3 linked regions of the Rhinolophus ferrumequinum genome follow. Each later gene encodes a partner of the first gene's protein in a complex. Links are inferred from orthologs where the notes say so. Each region holds a gene or a part of one and is shown on either strand. Other genes may lie near its edges.

What was found.
Region 2: the proteins of LRP6 (region 1) and SOST are in contact, whole or in part, in a crystal structure (PDB 6L6R), measured with the Homo sapiens proteins. The link is inferred for Rhinolophus ferrumequinum from reciprocal best matches to the Homo sapiens genes LRP6 and SOST. Residues at the interface, in NP_001401174.1 of Homo sapiens: Arg28, Asp52, Val70, Ser71, Glu73, Leu95, Ser96, Asp98, Glu115, Arg141, Trp157, Trp183, Asn185, Ala201, His226, Phe228, Trp242, Met269, Arg336, His361, Asp379, His404, Asp406, Thr422, Glu447, Arg449, Trp465, Trp491, Asn493, His534; in NP_079513.1 of Homo sapiens: Leu115, Pro116, Asn117, Ala118, Ile119, Gly120, Arg121, Arg169, Thr171, Arg172, His174, Asn175, Gln176, Ser177.
Region 3: the proteins of LRP6 (region 1) and DKK1 are in contact, whole or in part, in a crystal structure (PDB 3S8V), measured with the Homo sapiens proteins. The link is inferred for Rhinolophus ferrumequinum from reciprocal best matches to the Homo sapiens genes LRP6 and DKK1. Residues at the interface, in NP_001401174.1 of Homo sapiens: Arg639, Glu663, Ser665, Ile681, Tyr706, Glu708, Thr724, Arg751, Trp767, Gly768, Gly769, Pro771, Val790, Gly791, Arg792, Asp811, Thr812, Asn813, Leu814, Pro833, His834, Phe836, Trp850, Ser851, Tyr875, Met877, Arg1184; in NP_036374.1 of Homo sapiens: Glu185, His204, Phe205, Trp206, Ile209, Gln218, Val219, Thr221, Arg224, Arg225, Ser228, Gly230, Leu231, Glu232, Ile233, Phe234, Arg236, Ser258, Leu260.

The regions. Positions count from the first base shown.
Region 1 is NC_046293.1:27,146,575-27,154,184, reverse strand, and holds the start of LRP6 (low-density lipoprotein receptor-related protein 6), read left to right. Parts: upstream 1-4,562; 5' UTR 4,563-4,639; coding exon 4,640-4,694; intron 4,695-7,610. UniProt on the Homo sapiens protein: Component of the Wnt-Fzd-LRP5-LRP6 complex that triggers beta-catenin signaling through inducing aggregation of receptor-ligand complexes into ribosome-sized signalosomes.
Region 2 is NC_046304.1:38,984,316-38,991,858, reverse strand, and holds the start of SOST (sclerostin), read left to right. Parts: upstream 1-4,498; 5' UTR 4,499-4,567; coding exon 4,568-4,787; intron 4,788-7,529; coding exon 7,530-7,543. UniProt on the Homo sapiens protein: Negative regulator of bone growth that acts through inhibition of Wnt signaling and bone formation.
Region 3 is NC_046299.1:35,191,547-35,199,308, forward strand, and holds the start of DKK1 (dickkopf-related protein 1), read left to right. Parts: upstream 1-4,723; 5' UTR 4,724-4,918; coding exon 4,919-5,161; intron 5,162-5,401; coding exon 5,402-5,564; intron 5,565-6,730; coding exon 6,731-6,874; intron 6,875-7,003; coding exon 7,004-7,257; 3' UTR 7,258-7,762. UniProt on the Homo sapiens protein: Antagonizes canonical Wnt signaling by inhibiting LRP5/6 interaction with Wnt and by forming a ternary complex with the transmembrane protein KREMEN that promotes internalization of LRP5/6.

The sequences.
Region 1 (7,610 bases):
TGCTCTTCCATTAAAATACATCAAGTCTACATTTCTAAATCACTACGTATAAATCTATATAATTCTTTTTTGCAGTTGTATAGATTCCATAGTACAGATATACCATTGTTTATTTCACTATTCCCTATTGAAGTGCATTCAGGTTCTTTTGATTAGGTTGAACCATATAAAACTGCCATATTTGTAGGCATTTTTTTTGTGTGTGTGTGTGTGTGATTATTTTCTACTACAAACAATACTATGATAAATATCCGTGTACAAATATCTCTATAAACTTTTGTTTTTGAAGATAAAGTCCAAGATGTGGGATTCTTTTTTAAAAGGTGTGCGTATTTTATTCATTGAACGTAGATTGCTTTCTAAAAATGTTGGTATAATGTATGGTCCCATCAATGACCTTTTGGGAAGTCATAACTCACAGTGGCTTCTTTTCAGTGCTTCTCTGAGCTGACTTCTCCACACTACACATTACTGACCACAACTCCTCATGGCAGCACTTTCAGCCAGTTTTCCACCTGCACCTTTTTGGTCTCTTTCCCTAGCTTCTCTTCTTTTGTTGCTCCTAGATACTTGAATACCACACGGTTCTGTCTTGGCTCACTTTTCTGGTCACACTAAATGCTCTATTCTTTCCTTAAGTTTATGGTTTCAACCATAATCTCCGTCTTGCCTTAGTCCATCAATGAGGTGGCCCAGAGGTGACTTCACCTGAATTAGAATAGGGTTTCCCTTTCTGAAGACACCTTACTGTCATTGTCCAGAAAACTGTGGTAATAACTATTCAGTCACTATTCAATAGTCTACAATATATCCCCTGGATTGTGTGTCATATGACCTCCATAATCATTATGGATAGCTGTGTTTTCCATTCCTCTCCCGGGTCCAAAGTTCTGTATCAAACCTGTCTACTGAGTATCTCCAGCTGGAGGTTTTACAGACACGGCCGATAGAAAAGACCCATTGTTTAGCTTATCGTCACCCCCTCTTGAAATAACTCTTTATGCATTTCTTTTCTTCGTAAATGAGACTCCCATTCACTGGGGTGCCTATCTTAGAAACTTAGAAATTCATCATAGATCTCTCTCTCTCAATTCACATCTGATAGGTTACCAAATCCTGCTGTTTTGATTTCATATTCCTGAAATCCATTATCTCTTTTCAGTTCCCAGTGCTGCTGGCCTGACCATCCTTTTCATAGACTTATCTCTCCCTCCTATTATCCACACTGCTGCCAATTTATTTAACTTGCAAATCAATGAGAAAAATACTTTACTGTCTGTAATTGTCAAGAGGCTAAAATCTAAACTTCTTAGCATGACTTAATAAAGCTCTTTATTATCCAATACCTACTTAACGGTCTTGACTCATTTCCTGACATTCTCTAAAAGCAACCTATACTTCAGCTATATGTGTCTACTTTCAAATCCCTAACATGCCAAGAGCTGTCTAGTAATTCAGTGTCTTTGCACCTGCTATCCTTCTGCTTAGAATTCCTTGTCAGTCTTGTTGGCCTGACAACCTCCGACTTGTATTTCAAGGCGCAGCTCTAGGGTTATTTTCTCTTCTTTAAATTCTTTAGGCAGAAGTAAGCGCTTCGGTACTTGAGTTCCTTGTTAATATGGTACAGTTCTGCAGCATAGCAATTTAAACATTTTAATTATTTGTGTTATTAATTAGTATTTCCAAACTAGGTTGTAAGCTCCTTGAGGGTAGGGACTATGATTAATCTTATCTTTGCACAACCAGCACTTAATACAATGACTGACATTGAATATTTAACAGACACTTGAATGAATGTGAAAACGAATTAGTTAAATAGTGAGAATACTGTCCAGGCTAGGGTTTAAGGTTAAGCTAGAGATTTTCACTTAGGTAACTTAAAAGAATTTGGAAAAAAAATATAATAAAGGAAATTTAAGAACAGAAAAGTAAATCTCATATTATTTCACCATCCTAATGTCTATCTTAGTGCATTTACTTTCTTTGCTCAGACACGTGAGATATATATATATATATATGCATATATATATATAAAACACGTGTTTATGTATATATTTATATTTCATACAGCTGTAATTAAAACGTACATGTACTTTTACATGCTTTTAAGTTTAGCTAACTACAAACATTTTCCAACACTGTTGCACAGTCTTCCAAATTATTATTTTTTTCAGCATTGTATAATAATATCTCATTTCCTACTTAGATTGAAAGCCTAAAGAGACTTAGGTTGTCCTCAGTTTTCTGTTATAAATAGGAACAAATCCTAGTTTTGTGGGACTTGAAATTGATACAATTTTGAGGGGTGTTTAAAGAAAAAGGATGCAAAATCATCTGACTTTTGCAAATAGGCCCATGTGACCACACTGTTAGGGCCCCTCCCTGGGCTCTGGAAGGGGCTTGGGAAAGTGAGCGGTCATGAAGTTCAAGTTTCACTAGCTTCATGGTTATCTACCTCCAATTATAAATAATTCTGCAATAAACATTTTGAGCATGTAATTTTTGTCTCCCATTATTTCCCAATATTTCAAGTTACTATGACACCATTCACCTTGAAGGAGTTGAGAAAGAAAAGAAATGGTCATTTCTTGAACACCTGTTATATATTGAGCAGTTTATATATATTATTTAATTTAATCCTTCTGACAAGCCTGAAGGAGGCATTATATCCACTTTACAGAGGAGAAAACTGAGGTGCAGTGCATTTAAATATCGTGCCTCAAGTCACACATCTAGTAACTAGTAGGGTTTGGGTCCTCACCCGAGTCTCATTCCAAACTTCATGCTTTTATCACTAACATTGTTTCTCCACAGACTCAGTAGCTTCACAATAATTCCCTAGGCTATTGCTGAAAAACGGGGTTCTCAGTTATGCGTTTTGAGGTCAGAATACAAAACTTGCACAGCACTTACATGGTACTTGGTAGAAGGTAATTGAAATCAATAGTGGGTAGACTTTCTCAGATGAATTTATGAGAAAATGATTTGGCTGTTTCTGCCTTTGTATCTGCTGACAGACACGCATTGCCCTGGTTCAGCCTGCATTTCTTAGAAGGAGGAGAGTGAAGTAAGAAGTCCTGGCTTAAGTTTGGGTCCTGCCATTCAGTATTTGAGTCTTGGGTAAGTCACTGAACTTCTCAGATTCTTCTTTTCCTCCTCTGTGCAATCGAGGGTAAGTAACAAAACCTGTCTTACCCCAGGGTAGTTTTGAGTGTCAAATTTGATGTGTGTGCAAGCACTCGGTGAACTCCAATGTCACTCGGTACTAGTAACATTTCTGGAGTAGCTCCACTTGTTTCCCATGTGCCCCCAGGTAAAGGTGTGTAACAGCTGGACAGAACGGACCAGATAGCTCCATTATGGTTAACTCTGGGAGTGTCCTTTCAGCCACTTAATATCCGAGAGCGTCTGGGTCGCTCCGCTTCAATGCCCAGTGCAGCGGGAGTAGCAGAGGCTGTGCAAAATGAGTCAGATTCTGGGGAATCCTTTCCTCCTCAAGCCGAGAACTGATCATCAAAACATGCCGAACATTCATTATTAAAAGGCAACTTGTAAAATCCTCAGTCCTCTCCAATTGTCCCTCTGCTCTGTCTTAGGTGCTGACGCATTTATCTTGAAATTTTATCTGCCACTTCAGAAATCTTTAGTTCGTGTAGGACTTAATTCTGGGGGGGAGTCTGTAGTTCGGGGAAGCCAGGAGAGAAATAAAAAACCTGAGTTTGAGTTGGGGTTTGAGCATCCTTCACCAGATCCACGTTTGAAGCTGGGGTTCAGGGGCACGGGTTTTTCTTTTCCTTAAAAAATTGCCTAAACCAATTTCCAACCCTGAAGATGGAGCTGCTCATCCCGTGTCGGGATCCACGTGGCTCCCCGAGCGTGGATCTGCGGCTCAGGCGCCCCCGGCCTGCCGCCCCCCGGAACCCCGGCCCAGGTGCTGCCGGCGGGGACCCGCAGGTCCACCTGGCTCCGCCGGCGGCCGCCGCACAAAGAGCGGAGCAGGCGGCTGCCCGGCGGAGCAGCAGAAAGTAGTCCCGACCACGCCGGCTCCAATGTTATTCGACGTCGCTTCACGCCCTCCACGGGGAGGGCTCAGCGGCCGGCCGGGCAAAGAATCCCATTGGAATGCGCCGCGGCGCGGTCTATCCCCTCCAAGTCCCCTCTGCTCGCCCCGCAGATCTCCGGGAGTCTCCAAGCAGAGGCAGGGCGTGCACCCCCACTTTCTTTCATACCTGCCAGAGAGGGGGTGCCCAGGGAGGGGGCTCGGCCGCGCGCAGGGACACCTTGGCCGCGCGCAGGGACACCTTGGCCGCGCATCCCGGCGACGGGCGGCTCGTATCCTTGCGCCGCTGCGTGAGAGGAAGAGGCTGAATGAGGAACTGCGCGGGGGAAGCGGGGCGCCGGGGGAGGAGGCGTCGGGATGGAAGCAGACGCTGGCGTCGCGCGAACCCTGGCCAGAGCGGCGCGGTAGAGAGGGCGGCGGCGGCGCGCGCGGAGCCCTGACGTGCCCCTTTCTTCTCTCTCTGGCAAGCTGGGAAGCATGAGCGTGCAGACCTGCCGCTGCGGCGGCCGCCCCGGCTCCTCGCCTCCCCCTCTTCTGGTCGCCCCTCGCCGGTGAGAGAAGAGAACGCAAGAAGGGAAGATGGGGGCCGTCCTGAGGAGCCTCCTGGCCTGCAGTTTCTGTGTGCTCCTGAGAGGTGGGAAGGGCGGGGGGGTGGACACGGGAAAGTTGGTGGGATTTGGGGGGGGAGGTGGCCTTGTTTTGTGTGTGTCTGGGGGGAGGGGAGGGAGGGAGGAAAAGGAGAAGAGGAGCGGGGAGAGGCCTGGTGGTGGGGAAGGAGAGGGAAAGGGGCCCGGGAAAAGGGGCTGTGCGCTCTGTCTGGCCACAATGCAGACCCCTGCCTCGGTGTAAGACCTTCTCGGGACGAATCAGAGCCTCAGCCCGGGCTGCTGGTCTAGGTGAACCCCTGGAGTCCCATGCTGTCGGAATGACTGAGGGTCTGTGTGTCTCTTTCTGCCTGCAGTCATCCGGGAGCAGGGTCTTTGTATGTATTTTGGCGTTTAGAATGTTGGAGCCCAAGATGCTTTAACGTTGGTCTTCTTCCTCGAAGCCCCCACCTCTTCTGTGTCTCTCATGTGCACTTTTAGGGTCCTCGTACTATTTTTCCAGGTCTTGTTACAACTAATAATTGGCTTCCGTTCGGGATATAATGATTCTGGGTGAGAGCACAGTTGGAGAGTGACTCCGAGGTTATAGGTCGAGCGATTCAGCGTTGGGAATCTTCGGAGCTTCAGCCCATAATAAAATGGAAGCGTTGCCCTTGCCACCCCTGGTGCTCAGGACTTGCCCCTATTTTCGGAGCATGCGAGTGTACAGTTGGCACTAACTGGGAAAGTCATCCTTGTGTGAAAAGGAGCCTGTCCTGGGACCTAAGTTATCATTTGCTGCGCTCCCCTGGGGACTGCTTGGCACTTTGGTAAATAACATAGGCTATTCTATGTAATTTGCTCTGAGAATCGCATACATTCGATGGTCCTGTGGTTTTTTGAATTGGCATGCGAAGCTGTCACATATGCTGTGACTTTGATTTTGTGACAGTTCACTAAGGTTTAGACTGGCCGGCAAGATATCAACAGCTCTTCTCAAACTTACCAGTGGTGAAGTGGTGATCAGTCTGATGCTATTGAGCCTTTACCAGGAGAGGAATTTAAATCCTGATTGATGCAGAGGCTTGTAGCTTTGGTTTTGTTAAAAGTCTCACTTGCCGTTCCCGGTCAGTTCTTTTCAGGTATGGGACCTCTTGAATCTATGGAGCTTTTTAGCTATTGATTTAATAGGCTAAACTTTTGTTAAGCCTCCAGAACGTACTGAAGTTTACAGAACATGATAGTAACTAACGATCTTGCGATATGAATCAGCCAGGTGTGCCATTTCTGTACGTGTAGGTTTAGTTTGGGTGAGCATAAGTGACCTTTTTCTTTTTTGAGGAAGAATTGTTTTTCTTTCCTCTTCTGCAGGATTATGATGTTTGTATGTTTTATCTACTTCTACTTAATTAGGACTCACTAAGCGTATTCCAAACTGTTTCCACATGTAACCCCCAGAAAGATAATGCTCATTTAATTTTCTTGGCAGAGGATTTAATGTGGTGTTTACGCACTTGAGAGGTTTAATAAGTATATGTTTATTGTAGTATACTCCCTGTTGAAAGGGGGTTTTGCCATAGCTGTGAGAAACAATTATATTTGACATAGAAGATGTATATATTTGAAGACAGAAAATAAGAGTTAACAAATGTGGGAGTCAGCTGATTGGTTAAAGTCTTGGGGAAATCTAAATCCATAACCCGGGATGCTCCTGGTTGCCCAGTTGTATTTCTTGCAGGGGAAGGGTGTGATGTAAATGACACTTGTTTATTTTAACACCAAGTTTGAGCCTAGAGTTGGGTTTGTTCATTACTGGAATTAAGAGAAGTTGAACTTGAAGTAGTGTTTTGAAGTATGGTAGTATTGTAACAAGACCTAAGCATTAGTAGTTTAAATGGCCTCATACCTGCTAGCAAACAAAGTTTCCAAAAGTGAAGGTTTCATTTTAAATGTAACATAATAATGACATAAGGTGGTCTTTGAATGTAACAGTACATAACTGTGAGTACATATCATTTGAACTAAAACTGTCTTTTGATTGTGAAACATTGTATTCATAATTAACTTCTTTTTATTCTTTGATAATGTCATCCTCTGTTATAATAGTGATACGAGTTCACCTTGGGCTCTAAGGAAAAAAATGTGATTAATTTGTTGTATTAAGGTCATTTTTCTTTACTGAAGAGTTGGAGCTTTAACTGGGAAGATGGGATGATGAGAGAGTTTGGGAAACCTTTTGCCCTGTAGCCCTGTTAAGAGCTGAAAGTTGGGGAATAATGCCGTCATCAGCTAGGCTGCATCTCCGTCCCTATTATCAGAGGACAGGGTGGAATGGAAAGAATGGGAGATTTTAACCCTAAAATCTTGGGTTTCAAGTCCATGCTTCACTACTTAATAACTATGTTTCTGGTCCAGGCAATTTCTCCGGGCCTCAGTTTCTTTACCTGTAAAATGTGGGTAATAATACCACTCTAATTTTCAGGTTTACTGGGCATATTAAATGAAGTAATGACTATGAAGTGACCTACAAATATTAATTTTTGTTATAGTTTTTGGTTATTTGTGGACATGGCCTCAAATGCTGGAGATTTGAGATTTATTAATAATTTGTGTAAGATTCATGAATTCTTAAAGGTAGGTGAGATCTTGGTCATTTTGGTCTGACCGCTTCATTTGCAAGTGGGGAAACTCAGATTCAGAGAGATTATAACTTGATCAGTATCTAATGGTAAAGCAGGGATTTATTGTTCATGCTTTTAGCAAATATGTTGGAATACCTACTATATTTCAGGCTCATGGTCGCTGCTCTAACGGACCTCACAATCTAGGTTGTTATTTTTACCATTCTCTTAGTTCCGTCCAGGTACTGATTAGAAAAGATTGTATCTCCGATTTTCTAGAGGACATATTTTATTAGAATATATGCTTTAGAGTACCATTAGTGTGTATAATCTGTCAATACTATG
Region 2 (7,543 bases), on another chromosome or scaffold:
GAAGTTTCATCCCGTTAGGGCTGGGGGAGCCATACCCTATTGTAAGCAGGAGCCTGTGTTACAAAGTGCTTTGCAGCTCCTCTCTCCCATCCCTAAGAAGCTGCTGAATGTACAAGTAGGATTTCCATCTGTGCCAAGACTCCCCAGAGAACAGTTCTCAACTGTGAATAAAGACGGGGCGATTTGGACAGCCCTCAATGCAGGCAACTGCCTATAAACAGATTTCCCTCCAAATCCATATATTCCATTTTCGCCACTGACCTGTGGGACCAAAATCTGTTCAAAAATGCAGCCCTCAGTTTCCATGAATTAGAGACAGGTGGCTTGAATACTAAGTAGAGAGTGAAACTTAGATGGCCTTTGAGGTTCCTCTCACATCAAGGATTCTATGATCCTGTGCATTCAAAGGAGTGTAACTTACTTTCCAAATTTGGCGTGTCCTTGAAAGTCTGATGGAAATGCTACGTCTTTCTATGAGGATCCCAGATCCACCTTAGGGGGAAGGGAGTGTTCTCTCCTCTGAAGGCCCGTAACACTTTGTCCCTTAAAAAAAAAAAAAAAGCCTCTGAACCTTTTTTCAGTGGCACTAATCACTTTCTATGGAGTTATTTGGTTGAAGAATTTATTTCTTCCCTGTTACAGGAGCTCCTGGAGGGGGAGCGTGTCAGTTCATAGCACCCGGCAGGAGGTCTTGTTTCATTAAATGTTTAGCAAGTGGACGTATGAACAAGCAGTGTGGTAGAAGCAATACCCAGTAAATCATCATATAGAAAAAACAGCCTTACTAGGAATTTAGGTATGGTATTACAATATTAAATTCAATTTAAAAAATCTTAGCTCAAAACCCGTGTTGGCAGCCTGGTGGAGAAACATGCGGTTATGGTTTGATTTGTGTCCCTCCAAAATTCATATGTCAAATCCTAACACCTAGTACCTCAGAATGGGGCCTTATTTGAAGTAAGGTTATTATAGAGGGACCATGTTTCCCCGAAAAGAAGACCTAGCTGGACAATCAGCTCTAATGCATCTTTTGGAGCAAACATTAATGTAAGACCCCGTATATATTATATTATATTATATTATATTATATTATATTATATTATATTATATTATATTATATTATATTATATTATATTATATTATATTATATTATATTATATTATATTATATTATATTATGACCTGGGTCTTATATTAATTTTTGCTACAAAAGACCCATTAGAGCTGATTGTCCGGCTAGGTCTTATTTTTGGGGAAACAGGGTAATTACGGTAAGATCATTAGAGTCAGCCCCAGTATGACTGATGTCCTTATAAAAAGGGGGAATTAGGACATGGACATGCACACCGAGGGAACACTGTGTCAAGATGAAGGCATGGATCAGGGTGATGCTTCTTGACAGGCCAAGGAATGCCAAACATGGCCAGCAAACCACCAGAAGCTAGGGGAGAGGCATGGAACAGACTTCCTCACCGCTCTCAGAAGCAACCAACCATGCCAACACTCTGACCTCAGAGTCCCAGCTTCCAGAACTGTGAGACAATACATTTCTGTTGTTTAAGCCCCCAGTGTGTGATACTTTGTTCCAGCAGCCCCAGCAAACTAATGCCCACTTATATGTCACTGGTCAGATTGGGGACCTGGCTGGGATTTCTGGAGAACAACCCTGCAACATGTAGCAAACTGTTTACCCTTTTGGACTAGCATTCACTTCTGGAAAATACTTTAACATTTGAAAAAAAAATTACTTTGTGGAATACTACTGGGCAATAAAAAAGAATACATTGTGGATAGTACATGCAACAACTTGGATGAATTTCCAGGGAATCATGCTGAGTGACAAAAGTTAATCCTAAAAGGTTACATACTAGTTGATTCCTTTATATAACATTTCTGAAATGACAAAACTGTAGAAATGGAGAACAGATCAGTGGTACCGTGGGTTAGCGGTGAAAAGGGTTGGCATGGGCGGAGGGTGATTCTAGTTATAAAAAGGCAACAAGAGAATCTTTGTGGCCACAGAGTTGTTCTTTATCTTGGCTGTGATGGTGGCTACTTGACCCTGCACATGTGATAAAGTTTCATATAACTAAACATACTCACGTACAAGTAAAATGGGGGAAATCTGAATACGATTGATTGGTGGAGTGTATCAATGCCAATATCCTGATTAGGATGTTTCACTATAGTTTTGCAAGATGTTACCATTGAGAAACTGGGAAACGGTACATGGAATTGTCTCTGTATCATTCCTTACAAGTGCATGTAAATTTGCAATTATCTCAAAATAAAAAGTTTAATACAAAAAATTACTTTGTACAGGATGTTCATAGCATCCCTACTGAGGATAGGGGAACACTGAAAATAAACTACCCACAACAGAAGTCAGCTAAAACCCCGGGAGTTTAAGTGCGGGAGTATTGCTGAGCTCTGAACAGCGATAAACTTGTGGACTGAGTAAAGCTAAAGTTGAATTAGTGTTATGTGAAAAAGCAGATGGCATCATAGCAGGTTCTCTCTGAGCCATTCTGTGGAAAGTATGGCTATACGTTGGCAGAGAATAATTCAAAAAGATGTAGATAATTTAGAGATTCAAGTCCACTGGATTCTTCTTTTTCTCTCATTTTAACATTACTTCAGTTTCAAATAAGATAATGACATGAAATAAACAAAATCCTGAGTCTCTCCACTCCTAGTCCCTGGCTCCTCCTTCTGTTTCCAGCAGGTGGCAGAAGTGTTCCAAGGATGGTCCCCACGGTCTCTGTTTCCTTTGGATGGGCCAGCAGCTCTCAACAGCAGGAGGGGCTCGAGCATCAATCCCGCCAGCTCAAGGAATCCAGGCAGCAGAACTGTCTTCTCCGAAGCCCAGGGCAAGGAGGCAGTTGTCTGGCCTCAATAGGGTTAACAGTCCACATTCCAGAACAAGGGAAAAGGAGACTGGTGGGTCACAGACAGGCAGAGGGGGTTCTGGAGGGCCAGCTTCTCACAACACACAGCCTCTGTTGGGAGAGATAGATCACCCCCAACAATGGCCACAGCTGTTTTCGTCTGCCCTGAAGGAAACTGACTTAGGAAGCAGGTATCAGAGAGGGCCCTTCCTGCAGGGGCTTCTGTCTGGCTTGTAAAACTGTCAGAGCAGCTGCATTCATGTGTCGAGTGATGGATGATGGAAAGAAGGAGGGACAGATGGCCACAGATGGACACAGTGACTTACAAGTCCAGGCAGGTGGCAGAGGCCTGGCAGAGGCTCTGCAGGTGGGGCATGCTGATTCATTGCCCAGTGAAAATACCAAGGGGACCTGGGCCACAGCCCTCTTCCCAGCTCCTTCAGGGCCGGAGTGGCTGCACCTCCTCAATCTGTCTGCAATGAAAGCTTCCGCTGGCCCTCCTTTCTTTTCCTGCACCTCAGGTGTGAACCTTCCTGCCCCTGCACCTCTGCCCCTCCCAGGCCCCTCATTCTGCTCCAGGGCTGAAGTAGCAATTCCTTTTGGTTTCTTTGTGGCTGGCTGGACCTGGGGTGGCTTCGTGGAATCCTCCCCGTGGTATGCATCAATCAGATTTTCCATATAGGACTCAACGCTGGTTTTGAAAAATGAAATGGGCTGGGAGACAGAAAAAAAACACGTCAGCACTAAAAATGTTGGCCTTGGCTTTTGCTAAGAAAATGGATTTTGTGCTCTCTACTCCTACCCGCAGCCCGGCCAAAGAAATAACTGTCTTTAGCACATGCGCCTGCGAGCCACAGTGAGTGTCCTGGCCAAAAAGTGCCTGTCACCGTGTGCGGGATCCCTGAGGAGCTTGAAATGCAGTTTCCTCCTTGAGCTCCAGCACCAGTTCCCGTTGACTTGCTCATCCTGGCTACTTATAATGGGAATCCCCATCTCCTTGCCCAAGTGGGCACCCTTGCTGTGGCCCTCAGTTTTCCCTCTTGCCTTCCAGAGGATGCCAAGCAGGGCTTTTTTGATCAGAACAATCAATGCTGAGCCTCATGGACTTGGGACCAATGAGATTTCTTTAAAAGCATGCTTCTGCCTCTATTTGGGTCTGTGGGGGGCCAAATTGACACCCCCTAGGGCCATTTTTTCATGTGACAAATGAACTTGGCCTTAGAAATGGGATCAGTAGGGCTCAGCCCTATGGAGGATTCAGAGCTGCAGTTTTCTTTGTTAAGCTTGTCCAAAGTTTGTTTTGAGAAAGCCTGAGGGCCCCAGGAAGGTAGAGATTAAGAGCCGGGATTCATTTTGATATCTGAAAACCACAGCCGTCTGCTTGTGGGAGGCGCTGGAGAGCAGGCTTGCCTCACACACACACCCCTCTCTCTGGGTCACCTGGGAGCACCAGCAGCAATTTGGGAGTTTGCTGCCCTTGAGGAGAAGTCTTTGTAGCGGGTTTGTTCTGAGCACACCCCTTTCCCTCCCCCTGGGCTGAGGAAAGCATGGGACCAGCACTGCCCCAGCCTGTCATTGGCTGGCACTAGGCAGAGGGGGCTTTAAAAAGGCAAACGTGTCTGGGCTGGGGACTGGAGCTTGTGCTACTGGAAGGCCAAGTGCCCTCCTCCGGCTGGCACCATGCAGCCCTCTCTTGCCCTGTGTCTCGTCTGCCTGTTGGTGCACGCAGCCTTCCGTGCGGTGGAGGCCCAGGGATGGCAGGCCTTCAAGAATGATGCCACAGAAATCATCCCTGAGCTGGGCGAGTACCCTGAGGCCCCGCCAGAATTGGAGAACAACAAGACCATGAACCGGGCGGAGAACGGCGGAAGGCCTCCCCACCACCCCTTTGAGAACAAAGGTATGGGGTGGAGGAGAGCACTTTAAGCATAGGGGTCCTCTCATGGGAGGGTTCTCTTTGGGACGTGTTGAAGACTAGGGTAGACTGTTAGCCACTGCCAGCAACGGTGGAGGGACAGTCTTGTCTGGAAGCAGGAGAAGGATGACCTGCCAGCAGAGCCTGGGAATCTGAGTGCAGTGACTTGAGACTGGCAGGGGGCAGGATGGAGGCTGAGGTGGTGAGGGTACAGCATTGGGACAGGCTCCGAGGCTGGGAAAGCTTTCAAGGGATCCCTTCCTGAGACTACAGGAGCCTGGTCCAGCTGTCGGCACCACTGAGGAGGGAACAAGGCAAGGGAGCCTCGTATCTATGAGCACCTGCTGGAGGCCAGATGCTCTCTGTGAGCTGTACATGGGCTGTCCCCCAGGGACCCACCACGTGGAAGCCCCCTAAGGTGAACTCCCAATTTGAAGGTGAAGAAACTGAGGTTCCAGAAATGAAGTAATCTGGTAGTGAGTAGAAGAACTGAGATTTGAACCCCTTTTGATCCAATTCCAAGACAGCCCAGGTAGGGGATTATGGGTGGAGTGTTGGGGACCAAGAGCCAGAGCAAATCCCTCTAAAGCAGTGGGAAAGGGATGGCAGAAAAGCACTCCATCAATTCCCCCTGCCCATGGTCTGCCCGGTGAGCTGGCACTTGAAGGAATGAGAGTGTAGGCACAGTTTTAGCCTCTGGGTGGCAGCTGGACCTTGGAGGGGAGGCAGCATCCTCTGTGCAGGGAGTAGACACAGGTGGCACCATCTGTCCTGGGTCCCCACCTCATATTCGACCTTGCCTCATTTCTGGGGAGGGAGCCTGACCCTACTGAAAAGTCAATGGCCCCAGTGGAGGGTACACCTGGGTTCCTGATCAGGTGCCCACAGAGAAGCCTGTGGGGCAGTGTGCACAGCTGGCTCTGCAGCTGGCAGGAATGGCTGGGGGTGGAGGCTGGGATGACACTTCAGACTAAGGGCCTCAGTGCCCTCTGGCCATTGTCCAGAGGGGAGAGGAGCCCACTGCCCAGGCTCCTACATTCCATCCGTCCCTTCCTCCCAACTAGCTGGGAACATGGGGCTCTGCCAAGAGCAAAACCAGAGGAGCCTGGGGGTCCCTTGGGTCTTCCTACCTGGAGGGCGGGCGTGCCCTCCCCCTACTTCCCCCACCCCCAGAGAAGGTCAACTAAGCTCAATCCATGGGCTCTAGGGGACCCACCTATGAGATGTCCACATCCCTGAGCTCCCATGAGAGGCCACAAGCCCCAAGGAAGCCACTTGCTCAAAACAAAGTCACCCTCTGAAGAGGAAGTGCCTGACCTAGGGGCACTATTCTTGGAAAGCCCAAAAGCCTTCTTCCCTGGGCAAACAAGCCACCCCCACACACCACCCCTGCAGCCTGGGAGCAGGAGTGAGGATGCCAAACCAACCCAGAAACCAGAAGGCCAGCCACAGGAGGAAGGCAAGCTCCACATCTCCCCTGCTGTGTTTGCTCTCCAGTGTCTGGCTCTCTCTGCCCCCTCTCCGGTTTTGGTCTTAGGATTATTTTTCATCCCTTTGTGTCACATGGGTCCCATAAGACTCTTGGGGGTGGACAGATGCCCACACGAGGATCAGCTGTTTAAAAAGCTCCCGCTCATCTAAACCCATAGTAGAAGACACCATCAAGGTGACTTTAGGGGCCTAAGCCAGGTCTCAGAGCTCAGTCTTACCCCACCCAAGAAACAAGCCTGTGCCACCATCAAGTGTCTATTCAAATGGCACAGAGCAAGAGACGTGTCCAGCAGGGTGCCTGGTACACAGCAGGTGCTTAATAAATGTTTGTGGCAGTTGAGCCTGTAGGTTTTCCGGCAGAGCTTGGTCCCCTTCTGCTAGGGAAGTAACTATAGTAAAAAGCAGCCCTCCGCCCCGCCCTCCCCTCACTCCCCAGCCCAGCCTCCCATGGTTGCTTAGGCACACAGCTTCCACCTGTGTGGGAGCCAAGAGGTGCTGGGGCCCCAGGGAAGTAGAGTCAGGAGACCCAGCTCTGCCTTTTGGGCAAGTGCTTTTCCCTGTCTGTCCTCAGTGATAATGAGGGGGTTTGCCTTTGGCTCCTTTCAAGTCTAATGACTTGTCCTCCTCTCCACCTCTCTTCCATCCTTCTCCTTAGCAGCAGCTGCCCTGATTTATCACCTTCAATTAATCCCTACCCCTGTCTCCATCCCCTAACCGCCCCTCCCAAGTGGCCAGAAAAGGAATTTGGGAGAAGCCAGAGACATGCAGACGGTGTGGCTAGTACCTACCCTGCCATGGCCAGGGACCCTGTGGCACAGGTGTGACCGAAGTCTGGCGAAGAGGAACAATAATAATACATAGTAACAGCCAACACTTCCAGCTTTTACTATGTGCGGGTGGTGTCCCCTGCATTACATATGTGATGGATAAATGAACGGAATCCTCAAGACAACCCATTTTACAGATAGGTTGCAAAAATACCAAAAACCAAAAACCAAAAACCAAAAAAAAAAAAAAAAAAAAAAACCACCAAAACTTGGCTTCAAAGTTTTAGGAGGAGAGGGTGGGCTGGAGAGCTTCCCACCGGCTGGGCCCTTCCCGTAATAGATGCCCAGAGGCAAAAGAACCCTGTCTGGAGAAAGGCAGGTTTGGGGAAGGCGGGGTGAGGGGGATGGAGGGGTGTAAGGCCTAAGGCTTGGAGGGAGCCGCCGCCCTCACGCGCGCCTCTCTCCGCAGACGTGTCCGAGTAC
Region 3 (7,762 bases), on another chromosome or scaffold:
TTGCAATGTTTTCTTCCGTTCTGCTCATTACTGGCCGCCCTGACCTCTTCATCAGTGACACATTCTCTTCCCTTAGAAAAAGGTTTAATCTATTTGTACACTGCTGTTTTATTCATGGCATTATCCCCATAAACTTGGACTAACATGTCTCTGATTTCACTTCCACTCTTGCCAAGTTTAACAAGAAATTTAATGTTTGTTCATTTCTCTAATTCAAACTCAGACATTCTTGCGACGGCACACGAAAACGCTCAACAACAATAATGAACACCACTCAGCAAGACACCATCACACATCAACACGAACACAGCTGTGAGACACTGATATACCAAGGTTATGAAACCTTACTGAGCTGTTTGTACTGTGCTGCCAATGTAAGTGCGCGGTGGCAAGTTCACAAACGTAATTGTCAGACCTCGTACACACTGTGGACCTTTCTGATTATCAGGAAATCAGAAAAAGTCCTCTCTGGTTTTTAATCAAAAGTTTCTGGGTCTGGGCTCTATTCTTGGATTAGTGGGGTTTTTTTTGTTTTTTTTTTAATGTCCCACTCCTTTAAAACACATCTTCTGAGCTAGGATAGAAAGCTACCATGGAGCCTGATTTATCTGGGCTGGCCATCTCCAATGACCAAATAAACGTAATCATTGTCAAATCTCGCCTTCTCTGTCTCCTTAGGGGTGCAGAAAAGCCTAATCCAGCCTCTTAGGAGTCATAATAGGGGCCTGGTCTAAAAGCTCTTTTAACATCATGATGAGCATTGAGACCAAAATCTTTTAAAAGCCAATGAGAAAGTCATAACATTCTTTAAAAAAAAAAAAAAAAGAAAAAAAAAGAAAAACTAAACTCAGCAATGAGGAATCTCTACTATAAACTGGTACCAACAAAAATGTTGGCAACACCCCTAAGGAATGACATTTATCCAATGTTCTCTGAGTGAAGTAAAATTAAATGGCAACAGATCTGCTTCCTTTGATTTAACAAAGATAAAAAATGAAAGGAGGAGGAAAGGAAGAAGGGAGGGAGGAAAGAAAGGAGGAAGAGAGGGAGTGAATTAAAAATGCAGCAGTCACATAAGAATCTCAAACAACAACGATGGAAAAATAGTTGTGAATAGCGTGATCTTTTTTGGAGTGTATTTGTCTGTTTGTCTTCCTCTGGATGAAGAGGTTGATGAGTAATCTATGTCTGGCATTAAGCACTTAAAATGTGAGGAAGGCACACAGTACCGTGCTATTCCTGAGTTACAAGGTTAGATTTCACTTTAGTAAACATATTTTACCTATTTTAAAATTTAATACAAAATATTAAACTTCTTGCACTAGTGGATTATGGTCATAATTAAATTAAATCAAAGAGGAGGTGGGGTTCCCAACAGAACTAAATAAACTAGGTGTAATCAATTAACTATGCCTGCCCTGACTCCCACTAACTCTCTCACCTAGTTGTAGGAGAGACCCAGAGAGTCATCAGAATCCTCTTTACCTGAGGATTGTTGGTCGCAATTCCTGGTTACAATTCCTGGACCTTTTCCCATTTTCTCTATGACCTAATATGTGCCAAAATGTAATCTGTTTTGGAAAATATTTTACCCCCCATTCCTGTGTAAGTATATTTGTTTACTCATAGACTGAAAGATTTCTGAGGATAAGGAGACTGCCTTTAATATTTTGGGGCTATACTCCCAAAGATACTAGGAAGTATACCCCCTAGTATACTAGGGTAGCATTTTGCATATAATGGGCACTTACCGAAGTTTAATTGGCTGTTGATGGAACAATGAACTTCACTTTACCTCACCCACCCTGCTCTTGTTGCCAGTGAGCAAACTCAATCATGGAAAGAATTTTCAAATGGAGATTCCACTGAAAAAGTAAACGTTCCACTTAGAACAGAGCTGGCTTGCTACATATTTGCCTGGCTCCCTCCTGCATAACTTCTCTCCTATATAATTTGTGAGTTTACCTCCCTTCCCCCCACTCAATTATTTGAAGGTAGATAATGAGTCCTCACATACCAAGGACCACGGTTAGCACAGAGTAGCAACTCAGATATTGACCAATTCATTTTTAGCTTTCAAGTTATGACAGCTTCAGGAGAAACTTGGAAAGTGTGGAAAACTTGGAAAGTGAAGAAAGAGGTAGGACTTAGTCTGCTCTTGAAACCCTACTCTTGGCTAAACTCCCCTAACTCAACACAACAGATTCTGTCTGAGCTTAACGAAAATTAAACCCATACAGACACATACATATTCAGGATCAAGAATAAGTTTATGCAACATGCCTTTTTGTAAAGTTTTCCTTTTGCTGATTAAATTGTTCCACTGTTCTTTTTTTTTTTTCCTTCACTAGCAGATAGCTTCACTTGTGAATCCAAGTTCTTAATGGTCTAAATTTGTTAAATGTATTATTAGCATGTACCATCGCTTGTGAAAAGAGGAAAAGAAATTGGCCTTTAGTGTGGCACAAGCATATTTTTAGAAAAAAAATTATTTAGGATAATAAGAATATAAAGGAACATTTCACACTTCCCAAGGTCAGGGAATTCTTTCTCCACATTTCAACATCTTAAGAATTTAAGACCGACTAGATTTTCTACCACATCAAAGATGCTCAACACATTGATTATTGACATTGTTATTAATATTCTGCAAGTGATAATATGGCACCTAAAAATCCCTTATGCCTTTGCCCCTTTACACTATAATACCTCCCGTCTCTATAAACTTCAAGTAAACTGAGGAGAGAGCCATATCTGCCCAGGGATACCTGCCGATTCACTGCCGAGTCTCAATAAAAGGTGTATTGACTTACTTGTTTCTTAGGTTCATTTTTTAAAAGCTAATATAAACAACCTCCCCTTTGTATCAAAACTTCAATTTGTTTCAACCATTTCTAGAGCAGTAGCCAAGTCTAGATTATTGTACATGTTCATACTAAAACCTAAAGAAATGTGTGGGATTTAATCTATGTTAGAATTTCGAGTTATTAATAAGCTAGAGGACATTTCACAGGATAGATGGAATTTGGGATGCGAGGGATACCAGTATAATTGGAGGCATTACTAAATAATTATTTAGAAGCTGTTCTTAATATGACCTCTGAAACCCAAGGAACTAGAACACAGACCGCTACAATCTTTAAAAAAAAAAAAAATGTACCCATCCCTTTCTTAACTTTGGATTATTCCACTTCAAGACTATCCATCACTGGCTATACTTGGTCATGGTCCCAGCCATGGATATCGTAGGTCAGTGTGTAATTTTAAATCCCATAGAAGTTAGGAAGGAGAAAATAAATATATACGACAGTGATTATTCAATCTTCTCTTCCTTTTCTAAACTGGCATAGCAGTTCTCCATTTTCTGACACTTAACTATCAAACTGTTTTAAAAAGAATCGTGTACATTGCTTACCTTTTATTATGACCATAATTAGAATAGTCGTCTAAATATTTGTATTCACTGTGCCCTCCCCTCAAGGGCATCAACCCTGGAGGGGGTAGCCTAATGCCAGGGCACTCAGCTTCCACTGTTTTTGTTTAATAAATAAATGATTTCCAATTTATAAGCAGGAGAGCAGTCTTACACACTAGCCCTACTTTATTGTTTTTATATACTGATTTAAATGACATCAAATTCACTTTCTGATTTACTTTCAGCTTCCCTTTTCCTGAAGCTAGTCTCTTTACTTCCGAGAGGGGGTTTTCCTGGTCCACCAAAGGTCTGACTTGGGATAAAACACAGGCGTTCTCAGGCTTTACGATATGAAATACTAATGAGGAAGCCAGGAACTAAGCCTTAAGGGTTTCTTATCTCCCTGCATTAACCCACCACTGAGAAGGGGGAACCAGCGAAGGACAACTGACCCAGCCGTTGGACCCTGTCCGCTTTTGCTCCCGCCACTTTGATCTCGCCTGTCTGCCTAATCAAGTTCATCTACTGCTGCGACTGCTCAGATTCAAAGAACAACATTAAATAGTTTGATTATCGGATGGTCATTTCCCTCTTCTCTCCACCCATGATCTAATTTCCAAACGCCAGTCTCACGCCTCCCTCTCTAAACTTCCCATCAAAAGAGAATTAGCTCTTCTTCCTTCTAACCCTCGTTTGATGTGCAAATTTCCTTCTCTTTGCACATTTTTCTCTCAGTCTCGGCGGGAGGGGGGGTGGAAGAAGGAAGCGGGGAGGAATTCAGCGAACCTAAAGCCAAGCACCTCACCCCAAGTCTGCAAACCGTGACTCTAAAGGGTTAATCAGCAACTTGCACTGGCCACCTGGTCCTTTTCCCGGAAAGATTTCGATGTAGCCTTTGAATTACTGATCGGGGTGTATTTAATGCTGAATATTATTTCTGTGCACAATACATCAGTACTGGCGTTAGGGAGAGAGGAGAAGTGTGCCCTTGCAGAGAACATCACAATTCTGTTCTGAAAAGTATTTCGGATCCTGATAACCCAACCCCTACTGCAAGGCAAGGGAACCAGTGTTTCCAAAGTTCCTTCTCCTTTCCGCATTTATTAAAGTCGTCGGCTCTAAAGCTCACTGATTAGTCCTCCCGAAGGTGTGCAGGACCGGTGGAACGAATGCGCAAGGGAAGGGCGGGGTGGAGAGTGTCAAAGGCCCCCATTCAAGTACACAAACACACCCGCTCCCAGCCCCTCCCAAAGCTTTGAAATCCCATCCCAGCTTTGTTGTCTCCCCCGGAGGGGCCGGAATGCTCAGAGCCCGCAGTATAAAGGCAGTCGTGGTGGCGGTGGCGGTACAGAGCTTCATGCGTCCTGCAGTCAGGACTGTGCGAGTGCTGGAGGCTCCGGGAGCCTCACTCTGCAGCCGCGCCAGCACGGCTTCGTTGGGGATCAGGCTTGCAAAGTGACATTCCTCCTTTCTCTTTCTTTCTCTCTCTGGAGTTCTTCTGAGATGAAGGCTCTCGGGGCAGTGGGAGCTGCCCGGGTCTTGGTCGCCCTGGTAGCAGTGGCTGTTTGCGGCCACTCTCTGCTAGGAGTGAGCGCCACCTTGAACTTGGTTCTCAATTCCAACGCCATCAAGAACCTGCCCCCACCGCTGGGCGGCGCGGCGGGGCACCCAGGCTCGCCAGTCAGCGCGGCTCCGGGAATTCTGTACGTTGGAGGGAACAAGTACCAGACAGTTGACAACTACCAGGTGAGAAGGGTCTCGGGGATCTGGGAACGCTGTGACCCGAAGAGATTTCATCTGGGGAGAAGGGTATAGAACGAACTAGTGTGTGGTTCGGGGCGCATTTGGAACCTGTATTTGGGAGCAGTAGGTGGCAACAACTTTTGGACAGGTGGGCAGAAAAGGACTGAGATTAGTGTCCAGGTCCAGGAGTGTGGGTACTTGGATGCCTAGGTGTCTCATCTTCTCCTGGCCCCTTTCCCGCAGCCATATCCGTGCGTGGAAGACGAAGAGTGCAGCACGGATGAGTACTGCGCGAGTCCTACCCGGGGAGGAGGCACCGGATCGCAGATTTGTCTCGCCTGCAGGAAGCGCAGAAAACGCTGCATGCGTCATGCTATGTGCTGCCCTGGAAATTACTGCAAAAACGGTGAGTTCCTTAGCTCTGTTTCGGACTCAAACTATCCCGCCTTTGCTCACTTGCGGATAGGAGAAAACGTTGTGTGCTCCGTGAAAGCTGCGGCGCCACATGTGCAAATGGGTATTCATTTAGCATGCAAGGTTCCCCTCAGATATTTTGTTAGTGTTTATCTCGGAGGAGAGAAACGTTTAGGGGTCTTGGAGCTCTGTGTCTCCCTCTGTCCCTCAGTCATTTAACACAGCAACTTATCTCAGACTGGACCCCTCCATTAAAAAAAAATGTTTTGCAACAGACTTAATGTCAACTGAGAAGGAAGAGGGGTTAGGAAGAGTGGGATTATACAGATACCAAGGAAAGGGACGTTGATGTTCAGCTACCCTGTCCATTTTTCTTACAGTGCCTCTCTGTGCTCTGCCAGTCTAGCCTCTCCCTCATGATCCCTGATGAAACTGTTGTCAGCCAGAAGACAATGATTTATCTGTGCTGGCCACTCTTAAGGGAGATCTTGATACCCTCGCATCCTGGCCTCTTCATCCTCCCCTCTGCCTCCACCTCCTGCTACCTTAAAATAAGTACTCCTTTCCCCAACCACAGATCCACTAAAATTTAATGTCTCAAAGAGGTAGACTCAGACAGCCAGGGAAGACTCCAGAAATAAACTTAAGGGTGGCAATCCTCCTTAGGACTCAGTAATACTTCAGGATGAACTAACTAGATCTCTGTAATATAGAAATTACACAGTAAAGTAACTGGTGGGTGAGATTGCAATCTTCCAGGCAGCTGGTATTGCATTTGCTTAATTTAGTGGCAGTACCCATATAGCATGAAGGGCAGAGAAGTTATTTTTAAAAAACAAATTTTAAGTGACTGATTTTTCTTACCCCAACCAAGGGTGCAACTAAAATGGGCAGAAGACGCACTGTCACTACCTGTTTGGTAGGAAAGTATTTTAAATGCTATATTAGGGATGTTGTATATCACTGCACAGTGTACACATTGATGCTTCTGTCCTGGGGGTTTTGCACTAACACTAGGAAGTTTGGCTTGTGTTTAAAATCATGTCACTACAATCAGGTCTCTCACATTGGTGGAGGCATAACAGGCTGTCCCTGTCACAGCTGTGAGTGGTAACATAGTACAGCTCAGGAGTTAATCACAATCTCCCACTTCCTTAGGACTGTGTATGCCTTCTGATCACAATCATTTCCATCGAGGGGAAATCGAAGAAACAATTATTGAAAGCTTTGGTAATGATCACAGCACCCTGGATGGGTACCCCAGAAGAACTACACTGTCTTCAACAACGTATCATACCAAAGGTAGGTTAAGGGACCTTAAGACTCTTTCTTCCTTGTTAACACATCAGAAGTGCTTTTTGGATTACCTTCGTGAAATAATGCAGGGTTAGCAGTGACAATGTACTTTTCTTATTGTCTCTTCTTTCCTAGGACAAGAAGGTTCTGTCTGTCTCCGATCATCAGATTGTGCCACAGGCCTGTGTTGTGCTAGACACTTCTGGTCAAAGATCTGTAAACCTGTCCTCAAAGAAGGTCAAGTGTGCACCAAGCACAGGAGAAAAGGCTCTCATGGGCTGGAGATATTCCAGCGTTGTTACTGTGAAGAAGGTCTGTCTTGCCAGATACAGAAAGAGCACCATCAAGCTAGTAATTCTTCTAGGCTTCACACCTGTCAGAGACTCTAAGCCAGCTGTCCAAACACAGTGGACTCCTTTATATAATATATGCTATGAAAACCTTTTGTGATTTTTGCCAGCTCTACCCTGAAGGATGTACAAATTCTGTGATTCTAGTTAAGCATTCCAATAATACCTTCTAAAATCTGGAGTGTAAGGGCTTTGTTTCTTTATGGAACTCTCCTGTCGTTGATTGCAGTAAATTACTGTGTTGTAAATTCTCAGTGTGGCACTTATCTGTAAATGCAACAAAATTTTTAATTATTTTTTCTAAAGGTGCTGCATTGTCTGTCGTTCCTCTTGTTATGTAAATTTTTGTGCACATTGATTGTTATCTTGACTCTGATAAATATTCTATATTGAATTGTAATAAATCATTTCAGCTTATACTTCCTAAATGTATAACCCTCCCCTTTTAATTCTAGAATCTAGAATGCAATGAGCTTTTGGAATGACAACTAATAGGTATCTAAAATTTATCATGAAAATACTAGCTTATTTTCTGAAATGTACT